Saccharomyces cerevisiae S288C: one gene and its partners. The protein of the gene in region 4 purifies or fractionates together with the protein of the main gene of each other region. This does not show direct contact. Each region holds a gene or a part of one and is shown on either strand. Other genes may lie near its edges. The genes, in order: PRP40, NAM8, YHC1 and PRP42.

The links.
Region 1: the proteins of PRP42 (region 4) and PRP40 purify together in Saccharomyces cerevisiae (affinity purification with mass spectrometry; 5 studies listed by BioGRID). This does not show direct contact.
Region 2: the proteins of PRP42 (region 4) and NAM8 purify together in Saccharomyces cerevisiae (affinity purification with mass spectrometry; 5 studies listed by BioGRID). This does not show direct contact.
Region 3: the proteins of PRP42 (region 4) and YHC1 purify together in Saccharomyces cerevisiae (affinity purification with mass spectrometry; 5 studies listed by BioGRID). This does not show direct contact.

The regions. Positions count from the first base shown.
Region 1 is NC_001143.9:416,142-421,256, forward strand, and holds PRP40 (snoRNA-splicing protein PRP40), read left to right. Parts: upstream 1-2,168; coding exon 2,169-3,920; downstream 3,921-5,115. Other genes in the region: URB1 (Urb1p), read right to left, coding at 1-772; ARC19 (Arc19p), read right to left, coding at 1,367-1,882; CCE1 (cruciform cutting endonuclease), read right to left, coding at 4,014-5,075. UniProt on the Saccharomyces cerevisiae protein: Required for pre-spliceosome formation, which is the first step of pre-mRNA splicing. This protein is associated with snRNP U1. Two commitment complexes, CC1 and CC2, have been defined in yeast. CC1 is a basal complex dependent only on the 5' splice site.
Region 2 is NC_001140.6:275,309-280,489, forward strand, and holds NAM8 (Nam8p), read left to right. Parts: upstream 1-2,844; coding exon 2,845-4,416; downstream 4,417-5,181. Other genes in the region: homeodomain family transcription factor STE12, read left to right, coding at 1-932; IPI1 (Ipi1p), read left to right, coding at 1,456-2,460; YHR086W-A (uncharacterized protein), read left to right, coding at 4,923-5,084. UniProt on the Saccharomyces cerevisiae protein: Component of the U1 small nuclear ribonucleoprotein complex (U1 snRNP) involved in the initiation of meiotic recombination. Involved in the formation of DSBs at recombination hot-spots through meiosis-specific splicing of REC107 pre-mRNA.
Region 3 is NC_001144.5:723,474-727,650, forward strand, and holds YHC1 (Yhc1p), read right to left. Parts: upstream 1,944-4,177; coding exon 1,248-1,943; downstream 1-1,247. Other genes in the region: YLR297W (uncharacterized protein), read left to right, coding at 571-960; ECM38 (gamma-glutamyltransferase), read left to right, coding at 2,596-4,177. UniProt on the Saccharomyces cerevisiae protein: Component of the spliceosomal U1 snRNP, which is essential for recognition of the pre-mRNA 5' splice-site and the subsequent assembly of the spliceosome.
Region 4 is NC_001136.10:931,581-936,748, forward strand, and holds PRP42 (mRNA splicing protein PRP42), read left to right. Parts: upstream 1-1,923; coding exon 1,924-3,558; downstream 3,559-5,168. Other genes in the region: homoaconitate hydratase LYS4, read left to right, coding at 1-1,630; FMN1 (riboflavin kinase), read right to left, coding at 3,656-4,312; mitochondrial 54S ribosomal protein uL5m MRPL7, read left to right, coding at 5,035-5,168. UniProt on the Saccharomyces cerevisiae protein: Essential component of the U1 snRNP particle, which recognizes and binds the 5'-splice site of pre-mRNA. Together with other non-snRNP factors, U1 snRNP forms the spliceosomal commitment complex, that targets pre-mRNA to the splicing pathway.

The DNA of each region.
Region 1 (5,115 bases), on a different chromosome or scaffold from region 4:
TAGTAGTTCTCTTGAAGGATTTCTCCTTTAAAATGTCGTTTATGAATACCGATAGTATGTGCTCAGATAACTTGTCAGAATCAGCCTTATTCATGAATTTAAATAGGTTGCTCATAATCTTAAAGTTTTCTGTCAAAAGTTCTTTTCTCACGAATGGGGAAGCATTTGAGATCAATGTCAACCAAAACTTGATAAATGTAAATCTTAATGAGTCATGTTTGGATGAATCAGCAGATGAATTCCCATTGGCTAACTCAGACTTGCTTGGTACCAACAGTCTTGGTAAAATAGGTAATGAAAAATCGAAATATGAAACTAATTCCTCTATATGTTGCCCATTGTTGAAATTGACTATTTGTTTGAGTAGACGAAGAATTGGATTAGTTAATTGCGCACGCATATTGTTCAACCCTCTATAGAGAACTTTTGTGTAATCGGTCAATATCAATCTAATTAGACCGCTCCCAATAGTCACTGTACTAGTATCAGATGACAAAACTCGTAAGGTTTTAGTCAGTAATGAGGTAGTTTTCGAGAATTTCCCATGGTTATTTACTTGAGCATAATATGACCAAGTCTGTACCAATTGAGCACCAAATCCTCTTTGGAAGAACACTATTAGAGGTTGGTAATCTTTGGAGAGAGTTTCATCTTCGACTGCACTGATTATACTTTCTAGTGTTTCTAATGTACCGTCTTCGAACTCTTTCCCTTGGGTGTACTTCTCCCTTCTCTGGTCGCGAGATCCATAGGCTTCGCTATGATTACTCATTATGTAAGTGCTCCTCTAGTTCTGTTAGATGAAGTAGTACCGCATAGATTAGAGAAATAATATCCAATCAAGAATATAACCGAACTATTCTTTGCGATGAGCTTTATTGCTGAAATTTTTCATATTTCGTCTACAGTGATATAATATTGAAATCCTCATGCAAGTCGTGCATAGGTAAAAGCTGTTTACTATATGTTGGTGCACTATTATCATATAATTTTAGTTTGGTCGTATACTAGTGCGGCAGTAATAATAAATGCTTTAGAATCTTCAATCTTCATTTGTTTACGTAAAATGAAAACGTTTTGTGTTAGAATTGACAGATTGAAGTTTAATTTTAGGTGTCGGGAGAAACATTTTAATCCCTTTTTATGAATATAATTTAAGTACTAAAAAAATCACCATAATTATACAAAGTAACTGCAATTTAAAAGTACGTTTATAATTAATTCACATACACATGTTATTGTATCTAACTAAATAGTCTCGAAATAGTTCAATTGAGTACGCAAACTAACACAGTCAGTACAGATCGTAAAGTTTTCCGTCAATAGGGCCCTGACGGAGAAAGATTCCCTTTCCTATATTAGGAATCTAATAGACAAATTCATCAAGATATGCTTCCGCAACAAATCTTGCTCTGGCATTCAAAAACAGTTTAATTTCACTGATTTCCTTATCCACGTCCTCCATGAATTCAATAATAAAATCAACCAATTTCCCAGTTTTCATTGATTCAGTATGCTTATTAGTTATTAGAAAAGAAATACTGTAGCCAGGTATTGGTACACGTCTCAGAATGTAGAATGCTTCAGCACGCTGTTCCAAAAATCTAGTAAACTTGTGAACTAAAATCTGCTCAATTTCATCTGCCTGTTTCACCATTAAACTCATACGCACCGAGTTTACACTGGGCTCAATCAATACTTGTTCATTTTCATTACGAGATATATGCATCGGTTGGAGCAACAATTCGGCGCTAGTGTTAGGGACTTCAACTTCCGGTCTGTTGTGCCTCTCCACTTCCTGCGAAGAGAAATTGCTCAAAGTCAACGCAGCTTCCAGGGAATAACGAACAGCCGTTAGATACGGACGTAATGATTGTGACATTTCCTACTATCAGTTGCTTCCTCTTTTATCTTTTGTCAAAGTGACACCGAGTTGTTCCGAAAGCCTCTATTTGCTTGGCTTTACAGGCTTTTTTTGTTCTATAATTGTATTTTGCTATACAAAAGGGGCGACGTGGTAAACGATATGAAATTATCGACAATAATAATGTACTTGGAAATCTGGCAGTTGATGACATCGCAATAGCGTGCCTACCTATCAGGATAACAAGGTCTGAAGCCAGATCGACCACTAGACAAGCATTGCCGGAGGTGGGAGACGTGAAACTATGTCTATTTGGAAGGAAGCTAAAGATGCAAGTGGAAGGATATATTATTACAATACTTTGACAAAGAAATCTACGTGGGAGAAGCCCAAGGAACTAATTTCTCAGGAGGAGCTACTTCTTCGAGAAAATGGCTGGAAGGCGGCCAAGACGGCAGACGGCAAAGTATACTATTATAATCCAACAACAAGAGAAACCAGCTGGACTATTCCGGCCTTCGAGAAGAAAGTAGAACCCATCGCAGAACAAAAACATGATACAGTATCCCATGCACAGGTTAATGGAAATAGAATAGCCCTTACGGCTGGAGAAAAACAAGAGCCGGGACGAACTATAAACGAGGAGGAAAGCCAATATGCTAATAACTCTAAACTGCTTAATGTCAGGAGAAGGACTAAAGAAGAAGCAGAGAAGGAATTTATTACCATGCTGAAGGAAAATCAAGTAGACTCTACTTGGTCATTCAGTAGAATTATTTCAGAACTGGGGACCAGAGATCCAAGGTATTGGATGGTCGATGATGACCCCTTATGGAAGAAAGAAATGTTTGAGAAATATCTTTCCAATAGATCAGCCGATCAACTTCTTAAGGAACACAATGAAACAAGCAAATTCAAAGAAGCCTTTCAGAAAATGTTGCAAAACAATTCTCATATAAAATATTACACCCGTTGGCCTACCGCAAAGAGACTAATTGCCGACGAACCAATATACAAACACTCCGTGGTCAATGAAAAGACAAAGAGACAGACCTTTCAAGATTATATAGATACCCTCATCGACACTCAGAAAGAATCAAAAAAAAAATTGAAAACACAGGCCCTAAAAGAACTAAGAGAGTATTTAAACGGTATTATAACAACATCATCCTCTGAAACTTTCATAACCTGGCAGCAGCTTTTAAATCACTATGTTTTTGATAAGAGTAAGAGATATATGGCGAACCGGCACTTCAAAGTCTTAACCCACGAAGATGTTTTAAACGAGTATCTGAAAATAGTAAATACGATTGAAAACGATCTTCAAAACAAACTAAATGAGCTCCGACTGCGCAATTATACCAGAGACCGTATTGCTAGAGATAACTTTAAAAGCTTATTAAGAGAAGTGCCAATCAAAATCAAAGCAAATACTAGATGGTCAGATATTTATCCTCATATAAAGTCTGATCCGCGCTTTTTACATATGCTTGGAAGGAATGGCTCGTCCTGCCTTGATTTATTTTTAGATTTTGTTGATGAACAAAGGATGTACATCTTTGCACAAAGATCAATAGCCCAACAGACGTTGATAGATCAAAATTTTGAATGGAATGATGCCGATAGCGACGAGATCACCAAGCAAAACATAGAAAAAGTTCTGGAAAATGACCGGAAATTTGACAAGGTGGATAAAGAAGACATCAGTTTGATTGTTGATGGTTTGATAAAGCAAAGAAACGAAAAGATACAACAGAAACTCCAAAATGAGCGTAGGATATTGGAGCAAAAGAAGCACTATTTTTGGTTACTTTTGCAAAGGACATATACAAAAACCGGTAAGCCCAAGCCTAGTACGTGGGATTTAGCTTCCAAAGAGCTTGGCGAATCTCTTGAATACAAGGCACTAGGCGATGAAGATAACATAAGAAGACAAATTTTCGAGGATTTTAAGCCTGAAAGCTCTGCACCGACTGCCGAAAGCGCTACTGCAAACTTAACGTTGACCGCGTCAAAAAAGAGGCATTTAACTCCGGCTGTGGAATTGGACTATTGATTCTGACGTGTCGACCTCTATCTTGTTAATCATTATATAAATTATACATAGAGATTACATGTTATTTCAAGTTTGCGATCACCGCACAATTTCTTAGTCATTGTTGTAAGTGTTCTGCAAAAATTTCAGCTTTTGTACCTTATTTTCACAAAATTCAAACACCTGTCCGAACTGTGTTTTAACCAGTGTTTTTGAATTCAAGAGTTCAGTAATACTTTCATAATTTTTTAACCACTCCATCCAAGACAAACAATGGAGGAATGAATCTGCCAAATCGTCATCTTTTCTCACCCCCGAATTATCTTGGATCTCTAGTATATCACATAGCTTGAAACTTTTTTTTTTGGTAAGGGCATTTCTTATCCTATTATTCCAAACTCCTATGAACTCGACCAGTTTTGTAGAACTAGTTGAATTACCTTCTAGTATTGAGGTTGAAAGTATTTTTTTCACTAGCTTTATTCGAGAATCTTTGCTATGTTTGTTAGATTTTAACTTTTTTGAACTGGTCGGTGTCTCTTCTCTTGGAATGCACCAATATGAAGTCATCCGATGTGGATCGGACGAACATACCATATACCTCAACTTGGACGTATTCGGTATTTTATTCGTATACTTCATTTTATTTTCCAAGTTAGAGAAAAGAATCTGTTCGAGAATATTCACTTTTAAAATTGGGTCTAAAATATGCCTCGAAGACATAGTTCTGGTACGTTGCCTTTCAATTGTAAACATATCTGGTATCGGCATAGATTCAAATAAATACTCCGTAAGGTTAAATACAAGCTCAGAAGTTTCAGCAGGATTCAAGCTTAACTTTTTGAGGTTTTGAAAAAATTTCTCCTCTAGATTTATCTTTTGCCAGTCTAGTACTTTAGGGAGCGGATCATTATTGAGCAATTGCATCTTAGAGAAAGCAAAGTTAGAAACACCAGCATCCATAGACAATATGTTAATTCTTCCCTCTCTTATCTTTTGTTGTCGTAACTTCTCCAAAAATTCACACTGTTCTTGAATGTAGGTTCTTTTAGCTTCTTTCGTCGTGCCATTTACTGCTCCAATAACAAATGATAAAGATTTCAGTTGTGTGCTTTTTGCATTTTGGCAGCAGGAATCGATGAGTTGCAATATCTTAGCTTTCTGTGCTGTCGACATATTACTATCTTTTTTAGCTTTAGACTGTATAACCGTAAGC
Region 2 (5,181 bases), on a different chromosome or scaffold from region 4:
GGCAACATTTTATGACAAATCGGGATTTTTATTCATCTAACAATAACAAGGAAAAATTGGTATCTCCTAGCGACCCTACCAGCTACATGAAGTATGACGAACCAGTTATGGATTTTGATGAATCTCGGCCAAATGAAAACTGTACAAATGCAAAATCTCACAACTCTGGCCAGCAAACTAAACAACACCAATTATATTCTAACAACTTCCAGCAATCTTACCCAAACGGAATGGTTCCAGGATACTACCCAAAAATGCCGTATAATCCCATGGGGGGGGATCCTCTACTCGATCAAGCCTTTTATGGCGCGGACGATTTTTTCTTTCCACCAGAAGGATGTGATAACAATATGCTGTATCCACAAACTGCAACTTCATGGAATGTTTTGCCCCCTCAAGCTATGCAACCAGCTCCAACCTATGTTGGGAGACCATACACACCGAATTATAGATCGACACCAGGTTCCGCGATGTTCCCATACATGCAAAGTTCAAATTCCATGCAGTGGAACACTGCTGTTTCACCTTATAGTTCGAGAGCACCATCTACAACTGCTAAAAACTATCCTCCTAGCACATTTTATTCTCAAAATATAAATCAATACCCACGGCGAAGAACTGTGGGAATGAAGTCTTCACAAGGAAATGTTCCAACAGGTAATAAACAATCTGTGGGCAAGTCTGCAAAAATTTCAAAGCCTCTACATATTAAGACAAGTGCTTATCAGAAGCAATACAAAATCAACTTGGAAACGAAAGCCAGGCCAAGTGCTGGTGACGAAGATTCTGCTCATCCTGATAAGAACAAAGAAATTTCGATGCCTACTCCGGATTCCAATACTTTGGTGGTCCAGTCAGAAGAAGGTGGAGCTCATTCACTTGAGGTAGATACCAATCGAAGGTCCGATAAAAACCTTCCAGATGCAACCTGATATAATATAATTTTTGAATTTATGATACAAGAATTAAAAATGCGGGCCAGAATTTAATATTAAACAATACTCAGAAGAAAACAACAAGGACAATCTGTTTTTATAAATAAAACAATCTTATACAAGACTAGAGCAAACAAAAAGCAAGAAAAAAAGGTAATAAATGTAACAAATCTATTAACGTTAGAAAATAACAAAAAAAAAAAAAGAAAAAGATAATATAATATAATACCTTTATATATGTGATTTATCTAGCGTCACAGTATGTAATATAAATATCAATGAGTTTCTTAACATGACCTCCAAAACTACATGATCGCTTAGTATTACAATATGTGTTTATCCACTATTTTGATACCAACGTAGTATTGCCTTTTATTTTTCAGAATGGCAAAGGCCATCGGAAAATTTTTCCACCAGAAAAAGCGAGATTCCTAATTATAAGGTGAAGGCATCGATGTTCATAATAGTTAAAAGTTGTAATCAAAAAAGAAAAAGGTGCAGAGATAAACAAAGTTAATAAATGACAAAATCAAGAAAGCAGAAGCAAAAAAAGCAGGATTTTTTGAGAAAAAAGTTAAAAGTTGGTAAGCCAAAGGAAAAAGCAAGGAATGCTACCGATACATCTTTCGTTTCCAAGACTATTTCTATTAGAAATCAACATTTAGACCAAAATCCACATGATTTAACAAAACGGCTAACGCTCTTAAAGCATCATAACATCAATGTGAGAAAGGAAACATTAACAACATTCCAAAAGTCAATACCGTCTATAATAAAATCTCGACTTATGACACCATTACTTACTCAAAGTATACCGTTGATTTGCGATGAATCGCAGCAAGTACGTCAGGGACTTATTGATCTCGTAGATGAAATAGGTAGTCACGATGCGGAGATTTTAAAATTGCACTGCAACATTTTTGTCTTATACATTAACATGGCAATGACACATATTGTTACACAAATTCAAGCAGATTCTACTAAATTTCTCTCTCATCTGTTGAAGTATTGCGGAGATGAAGTGGTTAGGAAATCTTGGGTAAAACTTTTGAACGGTGTCTTTGGAGTGCTCGGTTGGGGACAGGTAGGGAAAAATGATAGCGCTAGCATAGTGCAAACGAAGAAGCGAAACGCCAAATATGTCACTATTCATCTCAATGCTCTGTACACTCTTGTTGAATACGGATGTCAGGATGAACGCGCTAGAAGCGACGGAGACACGGCAGAGACTACAGAGGACAGCGGTACGCTACGAAACCCATATTTAATCCCAGATTATCCGCAGCCGTTTGAGCACTTGAAACTATTTACCAGAGAATTGAAAGTTCAGGATGCTACCTCCAGTGGAGTAAATGCCACACTACTGTCATTGGCAACACAGGATATCGATACTCGAAAAGCGGTATTTATCGAACAATTCCTGCCTATAGTACGTAAGAAAATCGAAGTAATTATCAAGGAAGGTGGTGAATGTGGTAAAAGTGCAAACAAGCTTAAAACGCTGCTTGCAAAAATCTTTGATTGACGTTTCATAAGAATACAATATATAATTGATAGATTGTACTTTTTTTTTTGTTACCCTCAGGAGAGGCAGGGCGAAAAATGCAGAATCTTGGATTTTTTTTAAGTAGATCTAAGTTTGTTTATTTTTCAAATACTATTGGCACAAAGGGAAGGGCTTTTCAGGGATTATTCAGATTCGAGTTGGTGGTGAAATTGTGTGTGCGTACATCCTTATATCAGAGCTTTCCTTTAGTGACAACATTTAAATCGACGTGACCTTATTCGGGTAGTCAAACACCGAACCATATTCTTTGCCCTTAGGTTACTTTCCCTTCATTTTATCAGCTTAGTCGATTAAGTTCGTGTCTATATCCCGTCAAAAGTTCCTAATACATTGCGGGTACAAATGTCCTATAAACAAACAACATATTATCCTAGCAGGGGTAATCTGGTAAGAAACGACTCATCTCCGTACACTAATACTATTTCCTCAGAAACCAACAATAGCAGTACAAGCGTATTGAGTCTTCAAGGCGCATCTAACGTGAGTTTAGGGACCACTGGTAACCAATTGTACATGGGCGACTTGGATCCTACATGGGATAAGAATACCGTTAGGCAAATTTGGGCATCTCTGGGAGAAGCGAATATTAATGTCCGGATGATGTGGAATAATACGCTTAATAATGGGTCGAGATCATCAATGGGTCCAAAGAATAATCAAGGATATTGCTTTGTTGATTTTCCCTCATCTACTCATGCAGCAAATGCACTTTTAAAGAATGGTATGCTTATACCCAATTTTCCAAATAAAAAATTGAAATTAAACTGGGCTACATCCTCATATTCAAACAGCAACAATTCTCTTAACAACGTGAAGAGTGGTAACAACTGTTCTATATTTGTTGGAGACTTAGCACCAAATGTTACAGAGTCTCAATTATTTGAACTTTTCATTAACAGATATGCTTCTACTTCTCATGCCAAAATTGTGCACGACCAGGTTACCGGGATGTCTAAGGGCTACGGTTTTGTAAAGTTTACCAATTCTGATGAACAACAGTTAGCTCTGTCAGAAATGCAAGGCGTATTTTTAAATGGTAGAGCCATAAAAGTAGGACCCACATCTGGTCAGCAGCAGCATGTCAGCGGTAACAACGATTACAACCGTAGTTCTTCGTCACTAAACAACGAAAATGTAGACTCGAGATTTCTTTCCAAGGGTCAATCATTTTTAAGCAATGGAAATAATAACATGGGCTTTAAGAGAAACCATATGTCTCAATTCATTTATCCAGTCCAACAGCAGCCGTCTTTAAACCACTTCACTGATCCGAATAACACCACTGTGTTTATCGGAGGATTGTCATCACTGGTGACTGAAGACGAATTACGTGCTTATTTCCAACCTTTTGGCACGATAGTCTATGTCAAAATTCCGGTAGGCAAATGTTGCGGGTTTGTCCAGTATGTTGATCGGCTATCGGCTGAGGCTGCCATTGCTGGGATGCAAGGGTTCCCCATTGCAAATTCAAGAGTTAGACTGTCTTGGGGCAGGTCTGCTAAGCAAACAGCGTTGCTTCAGCAAGCCATGTTAAGTAACTCTTTACAGGTTCAACAACAGCAACCAGGTTTACAGCAACCTAACTACGGATACATTCCATCCAGTACGTGTGAAGCACCTGTTCTGCCAGATAATAATGTTTCATCCACGATGCTTCCTGGATGTCAAATTCTGAATTATTCTAATCCATACGCTAATGCGAATGGATTAGGCTCGAACAATTTCAGTTTCTACAGTAATAATAATGCTACAAATACGCAAGCTACTAGTTTACTGGCTGACACTAGCTCTATGGACCTCTCAGGCACGGGTGGCCAACAAGTTATCATGCAAGGAAGCGAAGCGGTTGTTAACAGCACTAATGCAATGTTAAACCGTTTGGAACAAGGCAGTAATGGTTTTATGTTTGCTTGAGCCACACGTGTATATAAAAATGTTTGTTTTCCTTTTGGCCCTTTTTCTTTCTTGGTATTTTCTTTACTTCAGTGTTAAATTGTATTTGGTCTTAGGCTGACGGTGATATAACAGCGCTTTATTTTCTTTTTTTCATTGCTTTTTATCGTTTTCAAGATTCCATGTCCTTTTATTAAGTCTTTTTTGTATCGTTATAGTTGCGTTTTTCCTTTTGATTTTCATTTCTTTCAAGGTTATTGTTATTCTTAATTCAATTCAAGATTGTACGCTTTTAAGCATGTTTATGATTTTCCTTTATTACTTCCATTTACCTTCTTTCCATCACTACTCATTACGGCCTGTCAATTCCTTTTTTGCGTCACCTTCATTTTTTCTTCTCTGTTCTTTTCTGTATTTGTCGAAAATTTTATATTGATGTATCTTAATTTTATTTTTAGTATTATTATACTGTAAATGTTTCTTACTGTGTCAAGATTTCCCGTTGCGCTATCTTCCAAGACTACGTAATGCGTTTGTCTCTCTATTCATGTTGTCTCTGTATAGGGGCACGGCGAATTCCTACTCCGTGTCTCTTCTCCTATATCTTTACACCAAATTTGGCCCATTTTCATTCCCCTTTACGTAGTAGCGGTTTTCGGCCTGCCGGTGCTACGCGTTTCTATAGCTAGTTTCGTTTTCTCACAAATAAATCCTAGCAGGAGGAAAAGAAAGCGCAGGTTGAAACTCCGTTCAGAAGAAGAAAGCCACTCTTTGAAAATACTGCCC
Region 3 (4,177 bases), on a different chromosome or scaffold from region 4:
GAATGGAGGGCTAGCTACTTGTGATTTCCGAAAAACGGACTGCAAAAAATGAGGAACAATAGAACACCGCGCGCTTTCTTTTGGGGCTGTCTGGAGAAACCAGTGAAAAGTGCGCACGCGTATTGCGGCTTAAAAAGATACCCGTCCATTCAAGAATGGCCGATTTAACAGAAAAGAGTAAAGAGATGAGTTTTGCGAGATCAGAAACAAAAACAAAAAGGAAAAAAAAAGGAAATTTTTTTGGGAGAAGGAAAAAAGGGTTAAGTCTGTAGAGAAACTCCGTAGTTCCCTTCTGTATTACTAATTGGTTACCAAGTAATAAATACCTGAGAGTAGTAATATATAAAAGAGAAATCGTATAAGGACCGTGTTAAATTTATATATATTAAGGAAGTCTTTCGGTTGGTAGTGTGAGATAACTAATTCTTTTTGGAGAGCCTTCTTCTTTGCTCTATCGTGGTAATAATCTACATATTCTCACAATCGCACACGTACGCTTTCTCTCTCACAAGTAACAAATTATTCTTTTTGCATTATAGACTACGTACGATAAAAATATAAAAACAGAAAATGGTCGAAGGTGATTTTGTCGATGAGCAATCGAACATTGCCTTACTAAGCTCCAAATCCATGTGTGGTGATCATCATAGCGTCAAGAATAGCATAGGGGATGAGATCTTTAAATTATTGACAAAGATTTTAAATTCGGATGAGAAAGCAAGCGGAGATGTGCACACACTCGTTTCTGGGACCCCGGATCTCTCAAATTTTAACCTCGATAATGAACCACTGGAAAACATACTCGCTGTTTTCATAATATCTTTTATTATTGTAGTGGTTGGAGTTTTACTACTTGGGTTGATTGGCATGATATTCATATCTCTCCGTTCAGGCAGCAGTAATGATAAGAAACTACAGTCCAACGATGAAGAAAAGCAAGCACTTGCTGAAAAAGCATGAAATAAAAATAGATATAATAGATGGCACCGCTCTTCACGCCCGAAAGTTGGACATTTTAAATTTTAATTCTCATGATAGTAACGATCGTGCACATTCAATTAATTATCGCATACCAAACATTTTTTTTCCTTTTTCAATTCAACTAATCTCAATTTTTTAATTTTCCTTTTTTTATTTCCTTTTTTTTTATTCTCATCATACCATTTTCATTCGTTGTTGATATCTCTATTGTTTTTTTTGGCAAAATATAGTCTACATATAATATTTAATAATCTAATCTGATAGCGTTAATTTCCATACCGCCTCCTTTTATATCCGTTGGCACTCGACGGTTTCCGTATGCCGTCGGAATGCATCCGCTTCTTGGACTCCTTGATCGTGGTTTGCAGTATATCTACACTGTAAAATATAGAAGTTTTTGGAATGGTGTTACTCCATTGTGATAATATCTTTGGGGGTTCTAGCTTCTTTGGGTTATTCAACCTAGGAAATGGATTGCTCTCGCACGTCTCATCTCTGGATCTTGAAGTTTGCTTGAAGGAATGGTGTGCAGATTTTTCATTGGCTCTTTGGGGTAATTTGCTGGCTTTAACCAAATCTCCTATATCAAACCTGTTAGCATCCACAAATACTTTGGAATATCCTGGTGAGCCATCGTATAACAATTTCAAGGTATCTATTGAGGTTTGTGCCAGTTCTTTTTGGTTCATTTTCTTCACATGCATGATGTGTCTTTTCTCCTTATTTGAAAGGCATGTAACTTTTAGCGTCTCATTTTGACTACTGTTTTCTCTTTCTTTCCTGCCTCTTTTTCCAATGTGGCGTCTTTTATGATTATGTTTATTAATAATGTCTCTTGCTTTGTTCCTATAATAGTCAGCTGTTATACGAAGGTGATTCTTACCGACCAAGTGCGATTTACGAACGCTCAACGTGTCATGGGTCAAATACGAATGACAGTATTCACAATAGTATCTCGTCATTGCCTATCTCTTTCCTCTCCGTTACTTGAGCACCTTCATCGCCTACACTAGGAGCTCATATTATATCTTCAGTATAGCAAGAATATTTTCTGTTATCCTTAACGCTTACCCGCCTATGTACCTTGACACTTGCGGAAATCTAGTGTTCAATGATAAGGTACTGTGTGGAACATATGAAAGTGAAAAGAGTTTGAACCGTTTATTATCTCTATACAAGTGTCTCTATTCACATATAAAAGAGTGAAAATAAAAATAACTTTTAAGATTTTATTACCTACATGAGATTAGAAAAATCATAACTATATTACTCAGCGGCTGTGCCTGTTGTTGATCAAAAGAAAAGATCCGCCCCTTCGAACGTCTTAGTGCCGCCTTTTGCCCGCTTATCAATTTTCTCTGAGGGAACATAACGGCATTTATCTATTCGACTTCCAAATCTACATACACGTATATAGATACATATATATATGTGTGTGTGCGCCTGTGTGTACTAGCACTTCTCAATATTATAATTCTTCCGTAAAGTTCGATCGTGACTTCCTGTTGCACAGTTATCTTAAATAATAGAATAAAAAGCTAACGCAGATTCAAGTGGGGCGTTGTCAGGCACACAAAAAGACAAGACAAAAAGTAGCGTACTAGACTTACAGTTATGCTGTTGTGTAATAGAAAAGTCCCCAAGACTTTAAATACCTGTTTTATACTGCATATATTCACTCTGTTAACACTGGGTGTGTTAGTGTCCGGAATGCCGTCAAAAATGGTATCATTCGCCTCTCAGGAGACTTTGCAGAGAATAAATAATCTCCTTCGAGGGTCTGCCAATCGAGATGTTGACATTATTGCAGAATATTTGAAAAAAGACGACGATGATGATGGCGGCGATAAGGATCACCATAACATCGATATTGACCCTTTACCTCGCCGTCCTAGTTTAACGCCTGATAGGCAACTTCTAAAAGTCGGTTTGCATGGTGCTATAAGTTCAGATTTAGAAGTCTGTAGTAATTTGACTATAAATGAGGTACTCCTGAAATTTCCCGGTTCTAACGCTGCAGACGCTGCAGTAACACAAGCTCTTTGTAAGGGTATGGTGAATTTTTTTAATAGTGGGATTGGAGGTGGTGGCTACGTAGTTTTTTCTGGCAAAGACGATGAAGATCATCTATCCATTGATTTTAGAGAAAAAGCACCCATGGATTCACATAAGTTCATGTTCGAAAACTGCTCTCTATGCTCAAAAATAGGGGGTCTTGCTGTCGGTGTTCCAGGTGAATTGATGGGTCTCTATCGCCTCTTTAAAGAAAGAGGTAGCGGCCAAGTTGATTGGCGTGATCTAATTGAACCAGTCGCAAAGCTGGGAAGCGTGGGTTGGCAAATAGGCGAAGCACTCGGTGCCACTTTAGAACTTTATGAGGATGTTTTCCTGACATTGAAGGAAGATTGGTCGTTTGTATTGAATTCTACCCATGACGGTGTTTTGAAAGAAGGCGATTGGATCAAGAGGCCGGCACTATCTAACATGCTAATGGAACTGGCTAAAAATGGTTCCGTGGCCCCATTTTATGACCCCGATCACTGGATTGCAAAATCCATGATTGATACTGTCGCAAAATACAATGGAATAATGAACTTGCAGGATGTTTCATCGTATGATGTTCATGTTACTAAACCACTGTCCATGAAAATTAGGAAGGGCGCCAATTTCATCCCTGATAACGATATGACCGTATTAACAAGTAGCGGCTCAAGTTCCGGGGCTGCACTACTTGCGGCGTTAAGGATAATGGATAATTTCCAGAATCAAGAAGGGGGCGATTATGAAAAAGAAACTACCTATCATTTGCTTGAAAGCATGAAATGGATGGCAAGCGCAAGAAGCAGGTTAGGCGATTTTGAAGGCGAAGCATTACCTAAGCATATAGAAGAGGTATTGGATCCAGAATGGGCTTTGAAAGCAGTGAAATCAATCAAAAGAAACTCTCAAGACGGAAATTTTAAAACTTTAGAAAACTGGACGCTTTATGATCCGGCATACGATATCAATAACCCGCATGGAACTGCCCACTTCAGTATAGTAGATTCACATGGGAATGCTGTTTCCTTGACAACCACCATCAACTTGTTGTTCGGTTCCTTAGTACACGACCCAAAAACCGGGGTGATCTTCAATAATGAAATGGACGATTTCGCTCAATTCAACAAATCTAATAGTTTTGAATTGGCACCCTCCA
Region 4 (5,168 bases):
GGGGTCGCTGGGCACTCCAATAGTGAGAACAGACGCTGCAGCCATATGGGCCACGGGACAGACGTGGTGGCAGATCCCACCAGTGGCTCAGGTTGAGTTGAAAGGTCAATTGCCTCAGGGTGTTTCCGGAAAAGATATCATTGTCGCATTATGTGGGCTTTTCAACAATGATCAAGTTCTAAATCACGCCATTGAATTCACGGGTGACTCTTTGAATGCATTGCCTATCGATCACAGACTCACTATTGCTAACATGACCACCGAGTGGGGGGCTCTTTCTGGTTTGTTCCCCGTGGACAAAACTTTGATCGACTGGTATAAAAACCGTTTGCAAAAGCTGGGCACCAATAATCATCCAAGGATTAATCCAAAGACTATCCGCGCACTAGAAGAAAAGGCGAAGATTCCGAAAGCAGACAAGGATGCACATTATGCCAAGAAACTGATCATCGATCTAGCCACGCTAACTCACTACGTCTCAGGTCCAAATAGTGTTAAGGTCTCCAACACCGTGCAAGATCTATCTCAACAAGACATCAAGATAAATAAAGCTTATCTAGTGTCATGTACAAACTCCCGTCTATCTGATTTGCAATCTGCAGCGGATGTGGTTTGTCCTACTGGAGACTTAAACAAAGTCAACAAGGTGGCTCCAGGTGTGGAGTTCTATGTCGCTGCTGCCTCTTCAGAAATTGAGGCTGATGCCCGTAAATCAGGCGCTTGGGAAAAGCTGCTAAAGGCTGGCTGTATCCCACTGCCTTCTGGTTGTGGTCCATGCATCGGTCTAGGTGCGGGATTACTGGAACCAGGTGAAGTTGGTATCAGTGCCACAAACAGAAACTTCAAAGGTAGAATGGGTTCCAAGGATGCATTGGCTTACTTAGCTTCCCCTGCTGTAGTCGCCGCTTCTGCCGTGCTGGGTAAGATTAGTTCTCCTGCTGAGGTATTGTCCACAAGCGAAATTCCATTCAGCGGCGTTAAGACTGAGATAATTGAGAATCCCGTGGTTGAAGAGGAAGTTAACGCTCAAACAGAGGCTCCAAAACAATCCGTTGAGATATTAGAAGGTTTCCCAAGAGAGTTTTCTGGTGAATTAGTTTTATGTGATGCCGATAACATCAATACCGATGGTATATATCCTGGTAAGTACACTTATCAGGATGATGTGCCTAAAGAAAAGATGGCGCAAGTTTGTATGGAAAATTATGATGCCGAGTTCAGAACCAAGGTTCATCCAGGTGATATAGTGGTCAGTGGGTTCAATTTCGGTACCGGTTCCTCCAGGGAACAAGCGGCCACCGCCTTATTGGCTAAAGGTATCAACTTAGTTGTTTCAGGATCTTTTGGTAATATTTTTTCAAGAAACTCCATTAACAATGCTCTTCTGACCTTGGAAATCCCAGCATTAATCAAAAAATTACGTGAGAAATATCAAGGTGCTCCAAAAGAACTTACAAGAAGAACTGGTTGGTTTTTGAAATGGGATGTAGCTGATGCTAAAGTGGTCGTTACCGAAGGTTCTTTGGACGGCCCTGTGATCTTGGAGCAAAAAGTGGGTGAGCTAGGTAAGAACCTACAAGAAATTATTGTAAAAGGAGGCTTGGAAGGTTGGGTCAAATCCCAACTATAATGTGCATAAATATCTAGAAAAATCGCACCCTTTTCTTTATTTATTAAGTTTATTTATTTATTTACGGTTATTCACGTATATTTTGTTAATCTATTGATACACAAGTTCTTATTTGTAATTTTTCTACTTCTTTTCATTAAATTTCAAAGATGCTCTTGTGACGTCCAAAACCAGTGTCTGACCTAAAGCCCGTGGGAAAAACAACGTAAATTTCTACATAAAAAAGTCAAGTAGGCGCTCGAAAGAGTTTCAGAAAATACCCAGCTGACCATTAACTGAAGTAGCAAACATCTATGGATAAATATACTGCTTTGATTCACGATGAGAATTTTTCAACTCTTACATTGAATGTCTCGAGATACCCTAAAAGTTTGGCATATTGGGAGAAGTTACTGAACTATATAGTAAAGGCTTCGGCACCAATATGCAAGTCCACTGAGCCTCAATTATTAAAGTTAATACGATGTACTTATTCTTCTATGCTGAATGAGTTTCCCTATCTAGAAAACTACTATATCGACTTCGCGCTACTGGAATACAAACTAGGGAATGTTTCTATGTCTCATAAGATATTTCAGCGCGGATTGCAAGCCTTTAACCAAAGATCTTTACTATTATGGACTTCATATTTAAAGTTTTGTAATAACGTTATCTCACACCAGAAGCAGTTGTTTAAAAAATATGAAACAGCTGAAGAATATGTTGGTTTGCATTTTTTCAGTGGGGAATTCTGGGATTTATACCTGGAACAAATTAGCTCAAGATGTACGTCTTCTAAGAAATATTGGAACGTTTTGAGGAAGATACTCGAAATTCCTTTACACTCTTTTTCGAAATTTTATGCATTATGGTTACAGCGCATAGACGATATAATGGACCTAAAGCAATTATCACAACTAACAAGTAAAGATGAATTATTGAAGAAACTCAAGATAGACATCAATTACAGTGGAAGAAAGGGACCGTACCTGCAGGATGCAAAGAAAAAGTTGAAGAAAATAACGAAGGAAATGTACATGGTTGTACAATATCAAGTACTTGAAATCTATTCCATTTTTGAATCAAAAATTTATATCAACTATTATACATCGCCAGAAACCTTGGTTTCTTCAGATGAAATAGAAACATGGATAAAATACTTGGATTATACCATCACCTTACAAACAGATTCTTTAACACATTTAAATTTTCAAAGAGCTTTACTTCCTCTGGCCCATTATGATCTTGTATGGATAAAATACAGTAAATGGTTGATAAATTCAAAAAATGACCTTTTGGGGGCAAAAAACGTTCTATTAATGGGTCTTAAATTTTCTTTGAAGAAGACCGAAATAATAAAACTACTGTATTCAGTTATTTGCAAGTTAAATGAGTACGTACTTTTGCGAAATCTATTGGAAAAAATTGAGTCCTCATATTCCGACAATGTTGAAAACGTTGATGATTTTGAGATATTTTGGGACTATCTTCAGTTCAAAACGTTCTGCCAGAATTCTCTGTATTCCAGTCGATATTCTGATTCACAATCAAACGGGCTTTTGAATAAGGAGCTGTTTGATAAAGTATGGAAACGTTTGAGTTGTAAAGAAAAAAAAAGTGGTCAAGAAATTTTATTGAATAACTTAGTACAGTTTTATTCGAAGGATACCGTAGAATTTGTAGAAAAGAACATATTTCAAAAGATAATAGAATTTGGTTGGGAGTACTACCTACAGAACGGTATGTTCTGGAACTGTTATTGCCGTTTAATTTATTTCGACACTTCTAGGTCATATTTGGACAAGAGGCAATATATTGTCAGAAAAATATGGCCCCAAATAGACAAAAAATTTGCACAGAGCGTCTTGCCGTCTTTAACAGAATTCTGTGAGTCATACTTCCCAGAGGAGATGGATACATTAGAGGAAATGTTTACTGAAGAACCTTAGCCAAAAGGCATTGTCATTTATTAAAAGGTATAAATATGTAAATGTATACTTAATGACCGTTAAGAAAAACTACTAGCCTCATCACTCCCGCAGATCTCTATAATTGTTGTTTGAATACTTGATACGGTGGAGTGGCAAGGACAGTCTGCGCAGTCCTAATATCGATATTGATGTCTTCGATCAGAGCTTCCTTAGTAGTGTAGTTCAATTCGGGTCTGATATGACCTAAAATATTGAACTTGACCCTGGCCCCATAAAAATCATTTTTAAAATCATGTATAATATGTAATTCCATGGTTTTGAAATCATTTCCGTAGAATGGATTTTTCCCAACTGAAAGTACCATAGGAAGTACGGACAAATCATCGTTCGCTTCACTTAAATATTGACCGTAATTATAAACCACAGTTCTTCCATCCCGCCTTGTTTCCACCGATAGTTCTTGACCATCAACAGTTTTAATGTGAGCAAACCCAAAGTAAACCCCTAAATCCAAATCGTTGATACCTTTAGGTAACTGATTTATAGGTACATTGGCAGTGGGAATACCCAATTCGGCGGATCCGCGGCCAAATCCACATACAATGTCACAATAGTCAGTAACAAGCGGGAATGGTGGACCTGGTTGCGCAGGTATTGGCAAATCGACTTCTCGTTTAAAAGTATCAATTATATCTGTATTCGTATTTCGGTTCATTAAGAAAGTACCTGCTAACACTAGCAATAACGAAACATAAATAGTCCACGTAAACATCAACACTTCAACAACACGTGTCTGTGACCGCTTCACGGGTCCAAATTACCACTTTCTAGAACATTGTCTTGTACGTCCAATAATAGTGTTACCAATGCTGACAGAGTATTAAAGCAACGATTTGAATTGACGCATTACCCTCCTGCATAAAGGACTACAAATACATCCTCTCTTATAACGCAATTGCAACATCTGAAGTGCAGTGTGATCAAGATATTCAATTCTCTATTAGAGTAACTTAATCATGTTTCACATGATCAGTATTCATTGTAAAACCTCTTGAGTGTGATTCGTTGCCAACTAACATAAGCGTGCGGATTCTTTAGAAAGTGGGTGTGCCGACCCTGGGAAAGATTGCATAATGTGAATCCTTAATGACTTACCCATACTCTTCATTAATAACCTATTTAGAAAAAGAAGAAAGGCTGTTTCGGAGCTCCTTTTGTGCTGTTTGCAAACTGTCTATTTTCGCATCAAGTTTTACCCATCTACTACTTTATTCGCTTTACGGTAAAAGCGAACACGACAAAATCACCTATCATCTACGAAGGGCCTTTCGAAAACAGAAGAATAAAAAGACAGGAAAAGCATCTGTTTAGAATTTTATAACTAATTTGGGGAGGTATCTGTAAAGTAATAGACAGGACCGGAAATAGTGTAAATACTCTCCTTTGTTTTTTTAGTTGTACCACTTTGAAGAGGGCTCGAGATTCACGAACAAAATGCAAAGGTTTTCACTAGTCACTCACAGATCATTCTCTCACTCCTGTGTGAAGCCCAAATCTGCATGCTCTTTGGTCAAACCAGTTCATCACTTGGTGAAAATTGATAAGTCAAAGTTATCCCCTAGATTTCC